Mytilus edulis: one gene and its partner. The protein of the gene in region 2 interacts with the protein of the main gene of each other region in a biochemical or structural test. Links are inferred from orthologs where the notes say so. Each region holds a gene or a part of one and is shown on either strand. Other genes may lie near its edges.

Evidence for each region. The genes of interacting proteins can lie anywhere in the genome.
Region 1: the proteins of deubiquitinating protein VCPIP1-like (region 2) and WW domain-containing adapter protein with coiled-coil-like form a complex in vitro, tested with the Homo sapiens proteins (2 studies listed by BioGRID). The link is inferred for Mytilus edulis from reciprocal best matches to the Homo sapiens genes VCPIP1 and WAC.

What each region holds. Positions count from the first base shown.
Region 1 is NC_092357.1:51,365,104-51,375,974, forward strand, and holds the start of WW domain-containing adapter protein with coiled-coil-like, read right to left. Parts: upstream 4,368-10,871; 5' UTR 4,235-4,367; coding exon 4,194-4,234; intron 4,040-4,193; coding exon 4,006-4,039; intron 2,751-4,005; coding exon 2,585-2,750; intron 1,717-2,584; coding exon 1,616-1,716; intron 1-1,615.
Region 2 is NC_092350.1:31,932,428-31,943,066, forward strand, and holds the start of deubiquitinating protein VCPIP1-like, read right to left. Parts: upstream 4,251-10,639; 5' UTR 4,140-4,250; intron 1-4,139. Other genes in the region: protein phosphatase inhibitor 2-like, read left to right, coding at 4,411-4,487, 9,586-9,789, 10,117-10,226. UniProt on the Homo sapiens protein: Deubiquitinating enzyme involved in DNA repair and reassembly of the Golgi apparatus and the endoplasmic reticulum following mitosis. Necessary for VCP-mediated reassembly of Golgi stacks after mitosis.

The DNA.
Region 1 (10,871 bases), on a different chromosome or scaffold from region 2:
AAAAAGCAATGGCTTGTTTGTGTACCTCTTATCATGCTTATCATGTTCATTTTTTTATCTAGATTGTTCTAACTACTTCTCTTTATATATCAATTATGACAATATGTCCAGACAGTTTATATAATTAATATTTTAACCTTACATGTATGCATGCAAAACATTAAAGTTTACAGCTAGCAATCCACTATCCAGTATGCCAGTTGCATGAAAACAAATTTCTAAAGTATGGTGCAAGTACATATGTACAGTACATGATGTAAGGTAATATCTTTGGCTAGCTTGCTTGCTAGCTGAACCATGAAATCATTATTAGATTAGGTATACTACCCTCCTTTCGGAGTAGTGTAGTCCTACAGACATATATATTTGATATATATATATGAGATTATTCTACTCTTAAAGGATATTATCCTAACCTAATAATGACCTCACGGTTCAGCAAGCAAGTGAGCTTACCAAAAAATTTACCTTAACCAACATTCTCAAGTCATTTTGCTGTAAGGGCTATTCCAGAAAAATGTATGGGGTTGGGGGGTTGGAAGGCACATTATATTAATAATACATGGGTGATGGGTATCAGAGCAACTTTTCACACTATAATGCATTATTATTCTCAATTACAATTGTCTGGGTGGCGGGTGCTGACAAAAACTGCCTTCCAACCCCCCAACCCCTCCCCCTACATTTTTTTCTGGAATAGCCCTGACATGCTATCAAAATTAACAACAATGATATAAAACTTAACAATAAAATTGTCTTTACTTGTCATAACAACTTTGGGTTAAAAGTCATTTCATTGAGCATGTTGAGATCAGTCAAGGTGATTGCAATATAAGAGACCCGTCAGGGGTACTACTTGTACAAGTGTATTTTATTTACTTGAAGAAGTGAAAAAAAATATACACATATAAGTAAATAAATAATGTTTGAATAATCTCCCCTTAATTTTATGAAAAATTTACTTGTATAAGTAAATTTTTCTTACAATCCAATAAAAATCCTCAAGTTTTGAGATGTAAAATCATGCCTTTAATGATTTTTCCCAGGTTTGCTCAAATTTTTTCATTAAAGTTCAATGTTTCATCTCATTAATTCATCAAAGAAACTGATTGAGCAAAGATCTTGTATATTTGCGCAAGACATTCAAAAATTGCTCCTTTGGGGCTTGTAAATGAGCAGTGTTAAGAAGATAACAGACAAATGGGACTTTCATTGTCCATGAAATTACACTTAAATGATTAGTAAAGGCATCTGCAAAGGGTACACAATTTAAAATTTTATTAGAGCAAGGAAATTTTAAGAATTCAAGAAAAGAAGAAAGGATGATTTTTTTACTTATACAAGTAAAAAATTCTGAATGCCTAAGGGACATAACTAAGCCAATTTTTTTTTTACCTATACAAGTAAATAAAATTCACTTGTATAAGTATCCTACAAATTTACTTATATGTGTATATTTTTTTTTACTTCTTCAAGTAAATAAAATACACTTGTACAAGTAGTACCCCTGACTGCCCACTTTTAAAGTAGTGGTATATTAGTGATGACGTCAGTTCATAATTTTTTTTCTAGATTTCAAGCTACTATGATGACTGTGATGTATTTTATTTCTCACCTCAGTCTTCTTATCTCTGTTGTCTTGGCTATTTGACTTGAAATGTCCTCCATTCTGACTTCTATCATTTGATCTGGATGTATGATTGACATTACTTGATCCTGAAATAAAGTTTACATTAAATTTATATACAATATGTTTGCTATTAAAACTTACAAATTTACGTAATTTTCTCAGACATGACACAGAGTGTGATACTTATATGTTCAATAACAAGCATGACAAGCAAGAATTGAATATCGCTTGATAACATGATAACAACTTGAGTTATTTAATATCCATTTGGAAATTTGGGTTTTGTTTCCCGCACCATTCTTGTTTAAATTGTTATGGCATTTCTCTTAGCTTTTTATGCGTCATAGTTTTGGTCATGGTTAATTGGTATATGTAGCAGTGGCGGATACAGAAATTTTCATAAGTGGGGGCCAACTGGCTGCCTAAGAGGGGGCTGATCTCGTCACGCTTCAGTGATTCCCTATATAAGCAACCAATTTTTTTTCTCAAAAGGGGGGGCCGGGGCCCCCTGGCCCCCTCCTAAATCTGCCTCTGTGTAGACATGCAGTTGTCACTTCTATGTCATTTGGTTTCAGATTGAGAGTTTTCTAATTGGTAATAATACCACATCATCTTATTTTTACAATTTATACATTCATTTCATTGTTAAAGAATATTAATCACTTTGAAAACGCCGGTGTCATGATGGTACCATAAAAGTTGATAAATCATTATTTTAAACCATTTAAAAAACATCAAAAGCTTTCCAAAAATTTAATTCATACTCACCTCTGGTACACTACATGTATATATATCAAATTCCATAGATATGTTGTTATACATGTTAATCCATTTATTATTGTTTAGTAATGTACAATGTAAGTTTAGTACTAGTAATACTATTGTGAGTTAAGATTATTATCTATTGTACATGTATTACTGTTTCTACATGTAAATAACAACAAAAATTCACACCTTTCTCAAGTCTTTCTTTAGTCCTCTCAATATAAGAGTTTTTGTTGTGATATCTGGGACTATCACGTGATGGACTATCTCTGGCTCTGTCGTATGAGGATTCACGTTTGTATCGGTCTGTCTGTCTGTACCCTTCACCTTTACTTTTGGATGGGTACTGGGATGACTGAAATAAACAGAAAATAAATTTTACAAGTCTCAGATGGTACATTGTAATTCACTATTTCATCTACACCATTTCTTTCTTGAATAATGCATTTGTTAAATCTGTAAACGACCAATGTATTCTAATGACAATATAAATGTTTATTAGGCCCAATAAAATAATACTTCTGTTTCCCCTTAATCATGTTAATCATGTTAATAGTGAAAAAACAAGGATAAGGATTTTTATTTTTTATTTTTGACTGCGTCTATACAGAACGGACACTTTTGACCTCATACTTACTTATTAAAAATATACCACCAAATATAGGGTACATGTAGGTAGGCAGAAACACAAGTCTTCATTTATTAGGCCTTAGATGGAATTTTGAATTTGATAAGACATTTGGGTTAAAATTTGTATGCATTAGTTTTTTAACAGCTAACAGCTAGACATAACTATTAGACAGACCATTGATATAAAAATTGTATTCTCTTTTCCTAAAACTTCAAGGATTTTTTACCCTTTAATTGAAACATGTTAAATGCACTTAAAATACATATTATTTGTCACAAATGAGAAACTGTGGTTTTCACAATTTTAAGAAAAAATTATAAATGCATAGTATACATGCTAGTCATGGTGCAAGTGCTAAGATTTGTGGACATGGATTTTTAAGAGTGAAATATAGGATTGTCACTTAAAAAGGGACAAATTATACATGAATTAAAAGTTAAAATTATCATGATAGCATGCATGGACCTCAAAGATTGATGAATCATGTTTTGTTAACATTCTAGATAATTTAGAATGACTTATTTATACCAAAATGAAAAAAGATTAAATTGTTAGGACAAAATGCACTTCCAACATTTCCTTCATAAGTTACATGACAAATATTGAAAAGTTTTGAGAATCTCTGTTAGCTAAGAATAGGTGACTAAAATGTGCATCACCTACGTGTACAGTCCAAAAATCTATACTGAGACACTCTGACAGGTAACCATGAAGGAATTTGATAAAATTTACAAACTTTTAAGTCATACTGAGCACTACAATCATTTAATCACTTTTCAAAAACCAATTCTTCTGAAATTCATTCCAAGTTTACTAGTTTACATCAAGATTTAACACTATATTTTAATGTGTAAATGCAATACTATTTGTATATCAGCTTTAAACCAAACATTAAAGTGCAATGTCAACATAAATCTAGTGTCTGGGTTTGGCTCTACCATGCTTTATGCTGATGTTCATTGCTCTCACTTCAAATTACCTGGTACAGATGGGAATCTCTCTTATCTGTATACCTGCAAGACACAAAAATACATAATTATAGCATATGAAGTGTAATTTTACATTAAAACATGTGTTTTTCATGCAAATTTTGTAAATATTGACAACAAAATGGCGGAACAAGGGACCAACCGACTTTACAATCATATTAAATGTAATCATCTTTACCCATCACTGAGTCTGGGCTGTTTCCTTGCATGCATTACCATCAATGCATATGCGGATGGAGTGCGTCAGCGCACGGGCAATCGATATCGAGGAAATAGGCAAATTTAGTTGAACTGTCCTACATTCCCTGACAGTTGACTGGACGCCATATTACATACGGGTCTTCGCTGTGGTGACGAAAATTTATGAATTGAAACTTTTTCTTGGTTTTAGAAAATTAAAAAAATAATTGTTTTTTCTTCTAAATTGTAGTTCAACATCAACAGTAGTATAAACTTAAAAAAATATTTCCTATTACAGGGAAAAGTTGTAAAAAAAACCATGTGATCACATTAAAAAATTCAAAATGGTGGACTCGATCTCCGTGCTGCGTGCAGGTAAACAACGCCAGTAAACAATGTATCAGCATACACTAAGGACGTACATAGTATTAAAATCCTCTGATAAAACAAGAAGGTCAAATACACGCATAGACGGTTTATTCTTTCCAACATCCACCCTTTAACAAATCAGACAAAATCATAAATTTACCACAAATGGAAGTTTGTAACGACCTTGACTGTCTATACTGCCTTCGCGACATTAACTTATTACGCAACGTCGCAAATAAGAGGTTAAGCTATAGCTATAAAACCAGGTTCAATCCACCAATTGTTTATTTTGTAGTCATTATTAAATTACTATCTCAAGGGGGTCTCATTGGGGGGGGTTCTGATCCCGGATCCCGCTAACTGTTTTGTCAGGTATCCGGTCGTTCCGGCCCCAAACCGATCCAGCCCCAAGTCAATCCGGCCCCAAGTCGATCCGGCCCCAAGTCGATCCGGCCCACGTCGATCCGTCCCCAAGTCGATCCGGCCCCATAATAAAATATGAATAAACTATATTCATTGTATGGAGGAATTTGTGACAAATTTGAACAGTATAAACGGAATTTGCGAAAAGTTACGTAATCAACAAGTTCTTTATAGTTTGATCTTTTGTTTGGTGTATATAATAATAACTAATTGTATTTATAAAATCAGCAAATCAAACAACATTTCTCAAGAACTTTAAAGAAAAACAATATTTGTGGTTATGTATCAGCGGTAAACGGACAGAAAGTCACAGGACAAAAAGTCACAGGACATAAAGTCACAAATTTGGTAGGACAAAAAGTCACAGCTTGGGAATTGGCTTGTATCGTTGTGTATGTAACTATTTGTTATTACACAAGATGAAAGACTTGTTAGGATCACAGTCAATTGAAAGAAAATGCTAAATACTGCTGATTAATGTTGATGTTTGAATTTTTTATATACGTTTTAATATAATTATACCAAATAATCTTGAAAACTTGTACTAAAAACATAATCAACCTAGTTGTTTTATACTCACTAAAGAAAATATTTTTCAAAGGCCTTTTTTTTTATTTACCGTACACCTTTTACATTATAATAAAAATCATAAACATTTATGAATTACAATTAATATATATCTTTATTTTTATTCCTTATAAATATATTTTTTATTGGGGCCGGATCGACTTTACATATGGGCGGATCGACGTGGGGCCGGATCGACGTGGGGCCGGATCGACGTGGAACGGATCGACTTGGGCCGGATCGACCCGAAAGCTTTTGTCAGATTCCCGTATCCCGCTTGTATGTATATAAACTTTGTATTTGTTTTAAGTGGTAAGAGTTAACATTGGTTACAGTTAACAATGGTACGAAATAACTATAATTCCTACTGTCTTACTTACTTGTTTTCTTATTCTCAGATCCGGACATCCTGGCATTTAATTTTTTCAAGGGGTGATGCAGATAGGATTCCTCTAGATTTTTCATCTATTTGAAGGTGATAACTGATTATTTATATTGTTGATTATTTTTTAACCAGAGGATATAGTATGATAAAAATCAAAATGGAGATATTATATATAGTGTCTTTAACAATATTAAGTGGGTAAAATTACTAGATTCAACTGCCGTCAATATATATCAATTAAATTAATTGCATTGAAGTGTATGGAAAATCTAGAGGATTCTTATCCGCATCACCTCTCAGCATTGTTTATATAACACATATGCTAATCATTGATTGTTCAGTTACATGTTGTGATGTCACTGCAGATCTGAGAATTACTGAAATTAGTGTCTAAATTATACTTATAGAGACGTTACCAACACTGTCTTGTAGGTTAAGGAACGAATGAGTACTCACAAATACTCTGTCTCTAAAAACCGCCACATTCTGAATGTGCTTTTCCGAAATTCTTATTGAATGTGTATGGTCCTGAGAAAACTTAGCCCAGTGCCAGGCAAGGCCACAGTCAGAGAGCTCAGACATAAATAAGTCTGAATCTGCTTTTGACTTATAGATGTCTAAATTTGTAAGTTTTAGGATTTGTCTCCCTTTAATGCAAGACAAAATACGACTTAAATAAGTCAAATATTGTTAAGCAAGAAATGATTGACCAGAATCAAAAAGTTGCAAATATCAACTCCTACAAGTCGATAAGTTACCAAAATTGGTCAACTTCAAGACCCACGCATACTTATAAAAAGGTCATGCATCTAAATCAAATAATGACAACATTGAAAGCCAATGCCTTGTCTTCTAAAGAAAAATATGAATGAGAGTCTGAAAAATCGGGGATCATGTTAATTAACCTTACAATGCAACCACCTGGATCCACACTTAATGAGGTAAAACTCTGTGTTTAGTAAGGATGTTCAATTAGATAATTAAATATAGATAGATCAAGTCCTTGTGAACTCTCAGACAGGTTTTTACTGTCAAAGGTGGTGTATTTTGGCCACCAAGTCAAGTTAAGTTTTTTCATCAACATAAATAGACCTAAACAAGTCTGTCATTTTGTGACTTAGATAAGTCTAAAATTGAAAACACATTTTTATAAAGAATACATGTTTTGACTTCTTTAAGTCAAAAACAGAAATAGACTTGTTTATGTCTGAGCTCTGACTGAAGGCAGCAAGTCTTCTCAAAGTTATATAAATTTAAAACTCAGCCTCGCTTTTCCAAAGTCAAGCATGAAGTTCAGCGGCAGTGTTCTCCCCAGGCCGATATGACGCTGCGGTGCCACAGCGCCTTCATAATATTTTCGTAAATCCCGCAGCGTCTGAATTGGCGGCTGTCCCTTGATACTTGATCCCGCAGCGTGTACATTTCACATTTTCATAATAAATGTTGGTTAAAATTGTCAAGTTGCTGAGATCATCGCTGAGAAGTCAGTCAGTGTTACGCAATATCTGATAAGTAGATTTACCTGAGCCACGCTAATCTCAGCCTTATCTGACTCTGTTATCATGTAATAGCGAAAATGATCATCAAGAAGATAGATATTTTTAGAAGAAAATTTTAAAATTTAAAAACTTGAATTTTTTTTCATTGGTCGAGAAGAAGAATCTATTTCAACACAACCAATGAACGTGTTCAATACACGTGGTAAATTTGAATACACATTGCTAAAGATATTTACGATGAAAATTATGAATGAGAGTATTTGTAGTTGAAAAAATTAAAATAAACTTTGTTTAATGATATTAACAAGGAGTGATTCATTTTAATTGAAAGTGAAAAATGTTGCTTGCAAGGTAAATTCGTCTCAAACTGTCATATTTTTAGAAATAAAATGATCTTTAAACATCGATCGTGAATCTGTGCGGGAAATATGTGACAATCAACACGGGTACAGCATTGCCGCTGCTTCTGTATAATGTCACCGGTAAATACTTTAAATGGTCTTAACTTTAACGATTTTCGTTTATATCTACCTGCCAACGATAGGTTTAACAATAATGCACACGGAAGCGTAAATAAATGTCAAACTACGGAAAATGGTCAAGTTGCTGAGATCATTTGCTGTTCATTAAAATATTTTTGTTTTAGTGTCTACCAAATATCTTAACCATATTCGATTTTATTAATTCTGAATGAACATGCTCTCTGCAAATAACAAAGGGGTGAATTCTAAGCAAAAGGCAGATGATGAAAGTAGAAGTATTTTTTCAGACCAATGACTTCTAATGAAAAGGGAAATACACCTCTGATATGTCTACACTCAGCTGTCAGTATACATGGTATACGTAGATATTATTGCTTTCCCTAATCCCAATCGAGCTAAAGTTATAAAAAAGAGTTACGTGCCCTTGAATTTTGCGCCTAAGAAAAATCCTGAGGAGAACACTGAGCGGTAACGTTATTGATTTTCAGTGTTTGTGTTGTAAATGATTTTTGTGAATTGTGTTGTCTTCTTAGTTACTTCGATCTATAGAGAAATATAAGTTGGTGTTGAGGTTATGGTACATGTATGGTCAGCTTGAATATTCATTATTTCATAGTTTTTAAGTTCTCACCATGACCTTGATAAGATCCTCCTAGGAATCTGCTAGGACTGTAATACAAATGTAATATATATATGTTAGTTACATGTAGATCTTGTCTTGCTTTTGCTAGTTGCTACTGCTAATATAAGACATTATTAGGCCTTCTATACCAGTTCTTCTTCCAAATAGTAAAATACTGCCCACAGTCAACATTATGAATATTCTTGCAAGTTAATGACGATCGAACCATGACTCCATTGTATTGTCACTATGCTCATCGTCCAAATTTTGAAGTTGATCCAAAATTAAACTTTGTTCACTTCCCCCCCCCCCACCCCGACCTTTCCAAAAGAACAATTCTTTCCCTCAAGATATGGTCAAAATCTCAATTCAAATTTCCAATGGAGTTCGTAACCATAATTACCCATTGCAGTGTATTCTAATTTTATTTTTTTTAAAATTATACATACTTTATTGAAAACTTTCACATTTGTTAGTTTGATACAGAAAGTACCGGTACCTTATCCTGGCCTCGTTAAACATTAGATTGTATATTGTATATTTAGAAAAATTTTACTTAATAGTAATTGTCCATTAACCAGGACATCCTTTTTTTCTCCCTTTTTTGCCCCTTATTCCTAAACGGTTTGAGCCATAACCCCCCAGAGCCATACATAACCATCCCTTTTTGATATGGAACCTTCTGGTTTAATATTAACCATAAATTTCAGAGAGATCCACACACTGTTCCATAAAATATTGTCTGGAAACTAGAAAAATGCTTATTTGGGCCCCATTTTGGCCCCTAATTCCTAAAATGTTATGACCACAACCTTCAAAATCAATCCCAACCTTCCTTTTGTGGTTATAAACCTTGTGTTTAAGTTTCATAGATTTCTATTCACTATTACTAAAGTTATTTTATCAAGGAAGATGACGTGATAGCAATATACGGGTCGTATAATTAGTTATCAAGGCTATGGCTATGCATTTAGTTTTTGCGCAAATACATGTATTCAAGAGTTTTCATGAGCCCACTAAAAATTAAAATATTTATGATTTATTTTACAAATAACAAAGAGAAGACAGCTCATGAAAATATATGAAATAACATAAATGTAAGATATATATTTTCTGTAATAACCCTATAGATGTATGATTTAGTTGAGATCATTGATATATAAAAGAAATAGTAAAGGGCCTAGAAGTCTTCCCTGCGGTACACCAAATGTGACTTTTTTTCCTGAAGATATGTTGGTATTTGTTTTTACTTATTGCATGTATTGAGACCTGTTTGATAAAATATTATTTTGAACTATTCAAAAGAAAGAGAATCAAACTTTATATACATTTTTAATTTTGATAATAAAATTGATTGATTTACAATGTCAAAAGCTTTTTTTAAAGTCTAACATGTCTAAGAAAACAACTCCAGTGTAGTTTCCTTGATCCATATTAATAGTTTAACTAAATCTTCAACAATTCTTGTTAAAGCTGAGTGACGAATGGCCTTATGAACTGAACATAAATTGAATATATATAAATATATGAAGCCCAGGTGGTCGTGTGGTCTAGAGGGACGGCTACAGTGCAGGCGATTTGGTGTCACGATATCCATTCCAATATCACTATTCACGATATCTCAGTAGCATGGGTTCAAATCCTGGCGAGGGGAGAACAAAAAGTTTGCGAAAGCAAACTTACAGATCTAACATTGTTGGGTTGATGTTTAGACGAGTTGTATATATATACAGATTGTACACAGCCATGTATCACAATCACTGCTAGTGACCGTGATCCGATGGATAAATCTGTTGTAGAGTTGTCACTGGTTCAGAGGTACTTATAAATATAATTATTTCTGTGATTGTATCTTAAATTAATTTGAAGGATCGTTCGCTATAGATAATTCAGCTGATCTGTAAAAATAACATCTCCATGCCTTATACATGTTATATATCATGTACTGTAGTACGACGCTAGTTTAAAACTGACGTGGAAAGGTAACACCCGGCCACTCACAGCTTCATTTTTATGAAGCCCAGGTGGTCGTATGGTCTAGGGGGATGGCTACAGTGCAGGCGATTTGGTGTCACGATATCTCAGTAGCATGGGTTTGAATCCCGGCAAGGGGAGAACAAAAAATTTGCGAATGCAAATTTACAGATCTAACATTGTTGGGTTGATGTTTAGACGAGTTGTATATATAAATTCAAGAGTCTATCTTAAATTGAGGGTTAATAATATGGCCTTCCAAATACCGCTTCGATCCCTAACATCACTGAAGAGACATATATTGTTGAAATCTAGATCTGGTGTACAAAAAAAATATTGACACCTTATATTTGTG
Region 2 (10,639 bases):
AAAGCAATCGTATCCCAAAAACATTTGATTGTCACTTATTTAGAAAGTGTCAAAGGCATCGCTGACATAAACCTATGATCATGATGATAAAAGTTTCATAAATTTCTGGCAAGAATTGTACACATAAAAGCGCTTACAAAGCAAAGTTTCCATGATATGTTATTAAGATTTCCAAGGTCATAATTTACAGTACTGGTAAAAATTTTCTATTTATTGGCATTTATTTTCCAACTTGTTCAACAAAAAAAATGTTCACATGAGAGTGCTAAATAAATTGACCCCTTATTTCTTTGCCTCCCGGCCCCCTAGCTTTAAGCTGGGGACAAACATGAAATTAAACCACTATCAGTGGAGTAAGAAATGTACTATGTAGATCTGAACTAAATTTTGTTTGTACTGATTTGAGGTATTAAATTAAGCAGTTTTCAATAACAATTTTGAAGTTGATTTTAAATTGAACAGAAAATAAACTAATGCATAATACGACACTCTAGTTTAAACTACGGCACAAGGTATGTAGAGATGTGTGGGAGGGTGGGAATTGTCATTTAAATGTAATGAAATTTCTTTTGCCTAAAAGACAGGATTGAGAGCCTGGGATCCAGCACTGTAACCAAAACCCATTTTATTAAATCTGATTGTTTGCCCCTTTTCATGTTCACTCCCATTTTAAAGATTTTGTTGTAGTGCGCTAAAAAATAAAGTAAATTAAGGTTTTTCACTGTTTTAAAAATAAGATGACACCCTAAGAATATAAAGATGTTTACCTTAATGCTTAGTGTTTTGTGAATGATTTTGACCAAATGGTTAAAAAAAATTGTCATCATGATCAAAGGCCACAGGTAATACCTGCCTTCTATTGATGAATTTTCTGAAACTTAAAACTGAAAATGAAATTTCTCATTCTGTCTGTTTTGTAACGGGAGTGGAAGTTTCCACTGGCTTCGTTTTCCCGTTGTCTACCCAAGTTCTGGGATATTAGACAAAGTACGTAAAACTACGTAAATATAAACAAGATGTTTATTTGAAGACATACATTATGATTGAACATACGATTACATAAATAAATATACTAAAATACGGTGGTGGCTAGTCTACTTGTCCTTATAAAGTTCCATATTTGAAAGCCAAACGATATGAGCGTCTGCTCATTTCAAATCCTTCGTGTAGACTGCCCCGAACCCGGTGAGTGACGTCATACTTATAGTTCCTATGGACAACGAGCCCGGCGGGGCACGTGCCAGAACAGGAAGTCCCGACAAGGATAATTTCATGGCCGGTCTCGGAAGAAAGAGTTACGGAACTATAAGTCATACTAAAGTTAACCAATTTCCCCAAATAAATAGAATATAGACAAGTAAACAAAGTGACCACCATTACACTCCCCCTCTCTTAAGACATAATGTGCCCACACATTATTCCAAAGATCGGTGAGATATATACTTACCAATATTTAGAATACAGACAGATATTTTTAGCAACAAATTAATCAATTTACTGTTAATGTCAATAAATAATTTGAAAAATAGTTCAAGATATTCGGTCATTCACTTAATGTTCAAAAGTCACAAATACATGTACATCACGAGACATCATCACGGAGTAAGGAATCCAATTATAAAGTTCGAGCGGAGCATCCAGGCACACATCTTGTCCAAGGTTCCAGGTAGGTAAATAAGGTAAAATTCGTCTAGTAGAGTTTCCAAATCTGTAAAGTAGTCCAAGTAAGTGTTCCCCAACATTTATAATTCCATGTGGTTTAGTTACGTTAAACTTATCGGCAAAAAGGCCAATATAAAATCCAATATGTTCCCTCATTGTGGCCAGCTATCCACGCACTGAAACAGTTTCAGTTTTACCACCTATATTCTGTCAGACACTGGAATAAATTAAGAAGCACATTCTTCTTATAAAATCCTGACTCACCAAGAGTCTTAAAAAGTCTATATACGCAAGCACTGCACCACTTGATCGGGTGCCCCAATATGTAATTTTATAGGTCACCGAAAGCATATAGCCCATGGTATTACTTTAACCATATAAAAACACATTTCTATACTGGAATCCATACAAACTGATTGTTTGTTTATTAAATATATTCAAAAATTAGAAAGTCATATAAAACAATTGGACTGTAATAATAAATCATTCATTGTATTCCAGTAATCCCCAAACAATATTCTTAGCCATGTGGACAACATACCCATGGTGAACCAATTAAGGTTTACAATAAAAATGTATACGCAAAATATATACCTATTCTCGCGCCATTCTAGCACCTAAGGTATTTCCAAAATTGCCTCTGTATACACCACCGAAAGCAGCTTCCAACAACAGCTAAGATAATGAGTGTACGTTCTTCTGTTATCTTTATTCTAGTCACAACTCGTACAAGACAACCCTATTCCAGCTGTATGACAAAAATGTCACTTTAATCCAAATCCTCGCTATATCCTAGTTTCTACATTTGCTAAAGCCACATTGCTTAGCAACTGAAAAGATTCAGTATTATTTTCATGCACGTTACAATCCCACCAAACTGAAATAATTCAGTTTATTTCCAAAAAGATCGAAGTAAAAATAAATAGTATTATATCATGATGGTGTTATGTATATAAATATCTCGAGTACAAAACTGTACTTTTACTCCTTTTTTATAATATTAAAATGAACCGGACAAATTTCCAGTATATAATCCATGATGGCACAATATAGCCTATGACTTTCGGTTCAACTTTGAAGTTTTGAGAATTGTTAATTCCCTCCTTTCCATGCAAGAAAGGTAAATAATTGTTATAACATCCACACTGACAAGACATAGATATGCAGACAATACTGCATGACAGAAATGCAAGTACAAAATGTACTTTTTAATCCAAAACAATTTGAAGTATAATCAAAACAAATTATTTGATTTTCCAAATCCATTTATGACAATAAATATGAATACGAACCAATAAACAGAACTAACAAATTAAACAACTTTTTCATGGTTAGAACGACAATGAGTATTCCCCATTGGTACCTCCTCCATACAAACATTCCTTAGATAGCAGGTGCTTTGACGTCGAAAATATGACGTCATATTGTAAACATGGCGTAAACAATCGCCGACTTCCTGGAAATTGAAAAGCCATAAAAAGCTTTAAAATACTTCGAATAAATGCAGTTAAATGTATAATTTTGCTGTGGTGGTGTACGCAAAAATGTTGTGTTTGTTTTCCTTGTATGCAAAAACAGCATATTTCCTCTGGAACGTGAACAAAATGTTCACCTTGTGCTCCAATTTGGAATTTAAAATCTGGATTTCTAATTTCTTTTTCTGAAAGTAAGTCACCTTTTATTACTTTGTTGTATAAAACGATATTGCATGCAGTACTGGTCATTGTCGGACCGGCACAAACAGCGGAAATGACAAGAAGACGAACAATAAACTGTTCGATTTTGACTCCTAGGGATACAAAAATCCCTTTTATTCCAACCATATTGCCGAAATAATGACAAACAAAATGTTTGTTTTAGTTATTGTCCTGAAATATCCCGGACGAGCCCCCAATGTAACGGGAGTGGAAGTTTCCACTGGCTTCGTTTTCCCGTTGTCTACCCAAGTTCTGGGATATTAGACAAAGTACGTAAAACTACGTAAATATAAACAAGATGTTTATTTGAAGACATACATTATGATTGAACATACGATTACATAAATAAATATACTAAAATACGGTGGTGGCTAGTCTACTTGTCCTTATAAAGTTCCATATTTGAAAGCCAAACGATATGAGCGTCTGCTCATTTCAAATCCTTCGTGTAGACTGCCCCGAACCCGGTGAGTGACGTCATACTTATAGTTCCTATGGACAACGAGCCCGGCGGGGCACGTGCCAGAACAGGAAGTCCCGACAAGGATAATTTCATGGCCGGTCTCGGAAGAAAGAGTTACGGAACTATAAGTCATACTAAAGTTAACCAATTTCCCCAAATAAATAGAATATAGACAAGTAAACAAAGTGACCACCATTACAGTTTGTTGTTACAACTTACAGAAATGTAAATTATTTAAACTTGTCATGGCATGAAATTAAAATGTAAATGTTGAACTAGCATTATAGAAAAGAGTTCACTGTAACTTTAGTGAATACCTAAGTGTCTATGCACAATTTTCCGAAGTTCTTTTTACATTTCAGAGAGTTTTGATTTCAGTTTCACAATCGCAAAACAGGAAGTCGACTCTGCGGGACAGTTACGTATTTACATTGAATTAATTTTATAAACTTACTTTGACTAATTTAAAATGGATTTACCTTTAAAGATATATTAATTTCCATATGGATAAAGATTGTCAGACTTATAACAAATCAATTGTCTACTATTAATATTCACTGCAATCCTGCTGTGTCAAAAATTTACAAAATGGCTTCAGAAGTGAAGCAGAAGCCAAAAGGCATTTTGAAAGCCTCTTCTAGCTTTGACAAACCAGATCATCAACAGTATGTAACCTCAAGACTCATAATAATAAATTTATAGTCTTTTTCCTCTCTGAGCTTTATCACAAACAGAAATTTAACAGTCAAAACTTAGACATAAACAAGTCAACATTTCTGATTTTAATATGAAGGCAGAATATTTTTATATTTGGCGTCATGAGTTACCTCCCATTATTTAAGTCATATGAGATATGATCTTTTAAAATGAGAGTGCAACTGTATCTCCACATTTATGAACTTTTTGTGCTGTTGTAACAACTGTCAACCTCGGGGTTTTGTTACAATACACCTTATCGCTATTTGTCCGCCATTACTGGATATCACACAGGTTCCCGTAAAATTTTGACAATAAAACAAAACATCTGACGCCACAATTGAAAAGTGATTGTTGTTGACGTCAAAAGTTCAAGCGGCCTGGTCAGCGGGGATAAGCGATAAGGTGTATATAATTACATTTGTCCTGCTCGAACTATTGACCAGAGCTCCAGATAAGATGCGTATTTGCATGATCACGCAATACAAATAATTAAAAACCCAATGCAATTGCCCATTACAGGTTTCAAAAACCCAATTGATTTAAAGGAAAACCCAATTATTTGCCAAAACCATGATTTCTTAACGCTTTGATTCACTATCGTTTGCGTTATTTACCCTCTTCTGATTACATTCGTCGCATAAATCTATTTTTAGAATATTCATAATTGGAAATGTCCTTCTGTTCTAATAATAGAAGTTCTGAACCCTGCATCAAGTAGCTGAAATGGGTCCCTGTTGGAATTTTCCGTTGCTCAAAAGTTACACATGTTTATGAAATCATTTCGATCTTCTCGGCGTTTATCCAATTAGCGTTCGTCATGTTTTCACATTTTTTGGTGGAAGAAGACTTCAAGTCTTCTGAAGGCCTATGGTGCCGGCTGTAAAATCATTGAACCATTACCACCTCCGTATGCTGCATCTGTTTCTGTGTATTACAATTTCATAACAACTTCCGATTCTTGACACCGATTTTTACACATGATTAAGCACTTAAATCATTTAATTTGTAAGTTAGGATTGTAAAACAATCACTATCGTAAATATATACCCTTTTATTTATGTAAATTATTAGATTTCATGCATCTTATCTACATGAACGTTATTTGTTTACTTGTAATGTTTTTAATGTAGATACATGTAGATACATGTATTTGTAGTATGCATTCCTAAATTTGTTATCGGGTCGACTCGCCCTGTTTACATGTTCTCCCTTGGTCTGTTAGTCTTGAGTTATTTCGCCCATATAGTATGTTGCCCTATGTTCATTCTCTTTACTCTTATCAAGGACGTTTAATTGAAAAATATTAATATTAAGGGTATCATAAAAAAAACCTTAAAACACGAATTTGTGAAAATCATCACAAAAATATGATTGTTCCTTATTTTGTTCCCAAGGTAAGACAATCGTGTTCAGCCAATCAAATTCAATGTTTCTCATGATCAAATTAATAAGCCAATAAAAACGTTTTCTCTGAAGATTATTCTAACATTCTAGATTTTGAACTTGTGTTGTTTTTATCTAGTTGTAAAATCGTGTACATGCCAGGTGAATCTTCATCTGCAAGGAGGTTATTACATAGCTTAAGGATAAAAGCATGGCTGATTGACATAATTCAATGATGCAGTACTACCATAAAGATAATAAATAGTAGTTTTTTCACTAATTTAATGACATAATACTTGTTGTAACATATGTTATTTTTGTATTCAATTAAATCATTTAAAGCACAATGTACTATTCTTTTTTTCACAAAGACCAACAAACAGGTTGGGACTCCCCCTACTCCCCCCCCCCCCCCCCCCCCCCATTATGAGTGGTGTCCCTTAAATGAGGGACTGTCCCTAAAACAAGGGGTCATTTTACTGAGAAAAAAAAAGAAAGAAACTTTTTAAAAGATTTTTAACTCAAAAGTGGGAAAATTCATTATATTTGGAACAACTTTTCTAAATGAGGGGTCAAATTAATAAAGAAGATATATGTTCAGAAACATCACAAAATTCTTTTGACATGTTTTGACCCATGATTTAATACTTGATAGATGCATAGTTCTTGGGGGAAAGTTTCATCAAATAATATGAATATAAAGGTGCTAATTTTTACAGTGGGTTGTAATGTTCTTCCAATGAGGAGTGTTGTTCCCAACCTGTTAAAGGTCCATCTTTGTGAATAATTCAAAATTGGAAATTTCAACAAGCATTTAATTTCCTTACACAAGAAAATGAATCCTGCTCTGCTAGCTACATTTTCATCTTTTCTACTGATTTAATAACTAGAATCATAAAAACAGACTTAAGAAAAAGGCATGTAAGCTCATCATACAAATATGACACTTCTTCTAGACAATCCAGATCGCGCAAAATACTTCTCTTAAAATTGTAACCTTTAAAATTGTTATCACGCACTAAAAAAAACCATGGGAACTTTCAAAAGTTGGCAGGTATGTAACAAGTCTTACTATTTTTATGCCCCATTTATGGGCATTATGTTTTTCTGGTCTGTCCGTCCGTCCTGCTTCAGGTTAAAGTTTATGGTCGAGGTAGTTTTTGATGAAGTTTAAGTTCAATCAACTTGAAACTTAGTACGCATGTGTTCCTTATGATATGATCTTTCTAATTGTACTGCCAAATTAAAGATTTTACCTAATTTTCACGGTCCACTGAACATAGAAAATGATTGTACGGATGGTAAATCCATGTACTTATGACACATTCTTGTTTGAAGAAAATAAATACGTCATAACGATAATGGAACAAAGCAGGCTGGGTTAGTGGGGCTGCTTTTATGGTAATTTAAGTTACCTTTAATTCACCTTATTCCACCTCAGAGCAATCAGCTGTTTGATTTCAAATTGCTCGGGACTTTAATATCATAACATACAATGAATTGAAACGAAAGTAAACGTCAGGGTAAAGTATTGAATAAGAGCATGTTTTCAGCTTCTTTTTGATAGCTGAGGGAAAGTTATGATGATAACAAGACAAGCTAGTGTTTTTATGAAGTGTCCATTGAACACACAGGTTTGTTTGCGTACCTAAACAAGAACATTGCTAGAACGATATTAAAACACGGGGTTTCGTCAAGAATGAAATTGGTTGAAAAAGTGAAAGGCAAAATCAATTATGACATGATATGTATTTGGAAAGCATCGGAAACCAAAAGTTCAAATATGGGACAACTTAACCCAGATTTATGTTGATCAAATTAAACAAAAACATTCAAGTATAATTTTAGTTGATGTATTTTTTTTTCATTTTAGTTGATGAGTGAATATATATATGTAAATGCTCTTTTGTTCCGACATTGGAAAGTTCCGGGCGGAAAGAACTAACTAGCCAAAAAGATCCAGAGGAACTTATTAACTAGTTACTTTGCTCTTCCTCCAGTTTAAAAGTTCCGTCGGAACAAAGTGACTAGTTGAAAAGTTCCAACGGAATTATATATATATATATATATTTGTAAATTTAAGTTGAATGTGGTCTCCGTCATTAAACCACACTATAAACCTGCTAAAGGTTTTTTGGTATATCTTAAATCTGGGAACTATTTAATATTTCTATTCAAAAGTAGATCTGACAAATAGGTGAAAGGACTGGCAAAACTTTCTGACAGCACCTAAATTTCACATATATTACAAACAAATCTAAACACTTAGGCAACACCTACCCCAACTAAACTGTATAGTAGGGTGCTCATATGGGATCAAGAAAGTTACTGTCCAACTAGTGACACCAGCTGCAGTTTATATAAGTTGTGAGAAAATACAAAACTGGCAGAAGGTTGAAAACAGGACACAAATTAAACGTACAATTGCTCATCAGTGAACAAACCAAATAAAACAGCTAGCACATATACAAAGAAAGAAACATATTTAAGATGGAAAAACATTTGGGGTTGATATAATGTGATTATAACATGCCTTAATATTCAATATTGTGATAAAAAAAAACCAATACATTAAGGAGCTTGGTGGTGAAAAACACAATTTGGTATTTGCTTGAGGGGTGAACTGGAATTGATAATGCAATTAAAAAACTTTATCACCCAATTACATAAAAAAAATGGTGGGTAAAAACCCCAATTTGTGAATTCTTATCTGGAGCTCTGATTGACGTCATACAACAATCACTTTTCCATTGTGGCGTAAGTTATTTTGCATTATGACATCAAAATTTAACAGGAACCTGTGTGGTGTCCAGTAATGGGGGACAAATAGCCATAAGGTGTATTTGCTGAGTTGACTATCCATACGACCCCCCAAAAAATATACTGATGCCACACCAGATTGGTAAATGTGTCGTTACCATTCCAGAATGGTCAATGTGTTGCCATTTCCAGAAACAGTTAAAAACACAATCTAAATATCCTAGTCTGAGTTCGTTCACCTAATTACAACAGTAACATGTATTTCATATACAATGTAGATAATGATAGTTCAAGTTAGTTGTAGTCCAAGTTTGTGATAGGCTGAGTTGAGTTATATATATCCAGCAGCAATAAAATGTATGATATACAAATGTACATTTTCATGATTATATGATATTCTCTTCCACTTTACCATGTTTACAATGTACACAATGTATTTGAATTTTTATTTAGATTTATAAAATATGTTATGATAACATGATTGAGAATGTTATATTGTGTATAATTATTGTCAGCTTTCTTCAAGGCTAAAATGTACCGCTTCCTATTTCAATGTAAACAAACATTAACTTTTAGTTGTGCTTGAGCACTATTAAAGTTCAAAAGGCTTGATTTCCAACAATTAATGATGAGCAAGAACACCTGTATTTGTTAAAAGTTCACTACATGCTAAACAAATTTAATTTCAAATGTAGATAGACTTTAGCTGTATATTAAGCATATTTAACTCCGCCAAAATATACGAGATAGACCCAAAATGCAATCATTTTCTTCAGGTCTGTGGTATTGAGTTACAACATGGCAAATTAAATGAAATTTGGGGGTGGGGCCAAAAATGGCCTTTATAGCCCTAGAGTCCTTTACTATTACCATGATTACAAATATCTAAGTGTAAATACTGAATATTTCATTTATTTTCAGTCCTCATTCAAAAGGAATGAAATGGGATGAAATGAACATATTAGCCACCCATCATCCTGCAGATAAGGACTATGGTCACATGAAAATAGATGAGCCAAAGACCCCATACAGTAAATTATCAGACGCAGAAGACGATGAAGAAGGAGGTCGACGAACCAGTGTATCTGAAGAACCAGGAGTTAACCCTGAGACAATAGCAACTAGGTATGTGTCTACATATGGCCTACATGCCCATCAGCACAGATTTGAAGAATTACATTAGACCTGTTAGAATTTATTATACAGGCCACTAGAATCTTTAAAAAATATCCAAAAAATTTAGCCTGTGGTTGCAAAAATTAAACTTGAAACACTGAGGTAAAACACAATTGTTCAAATTCGTTTATTAAACATTAAACTTAGCAAAGGAACAGCAACTTGGTCTTTCCACATACATGTAGGTATCAGATAAGACAAAAATTAAAGATATAGTCAACAAAGAATATTAATTTTTCTTGGAGTAAAGTGAATGATGTAGATATTATTTTACAGATTACAGACAGTAGAAGATAGAAACAAATTACATGCTAAAGTGTCGAAGGAAGAAGAGGAATCCTCGTCAGAGGAAGAGGAAGAAGAAATGGAAACAGAGGAAATGAAAGGTAGACAAATATATGGAGTGAAGGAATATATTTGTGAATTTTATTTTCAAATAAAAATAATTAAGATGTGGTTTGATTGCCAATGATACCACTCTCTATCAGAGACAATAGTGTGTAGAAGTTAGTCACCATTGGTCACCATACTGCCTTCCACAATGAGCAAAACCTATGTCTGGAATAAAATTTGTTTAGAAATAGCATATAAATAAAATTTTAATGTAGTATTCCTAGGCATAATAAATTATTACCAAATATCAGTTGCAAAACACAACACAAGAAGAAACTGAACAGACCCAAATGGCAGTACAAGTGTTGTGGTAGACACATCTTCATGAGATAATAAAAATCCTCAGGTATCTAAAAGTTTGACTAAAGATATGCATTGTCAGACACATTTATCTTCAACTTCCTGT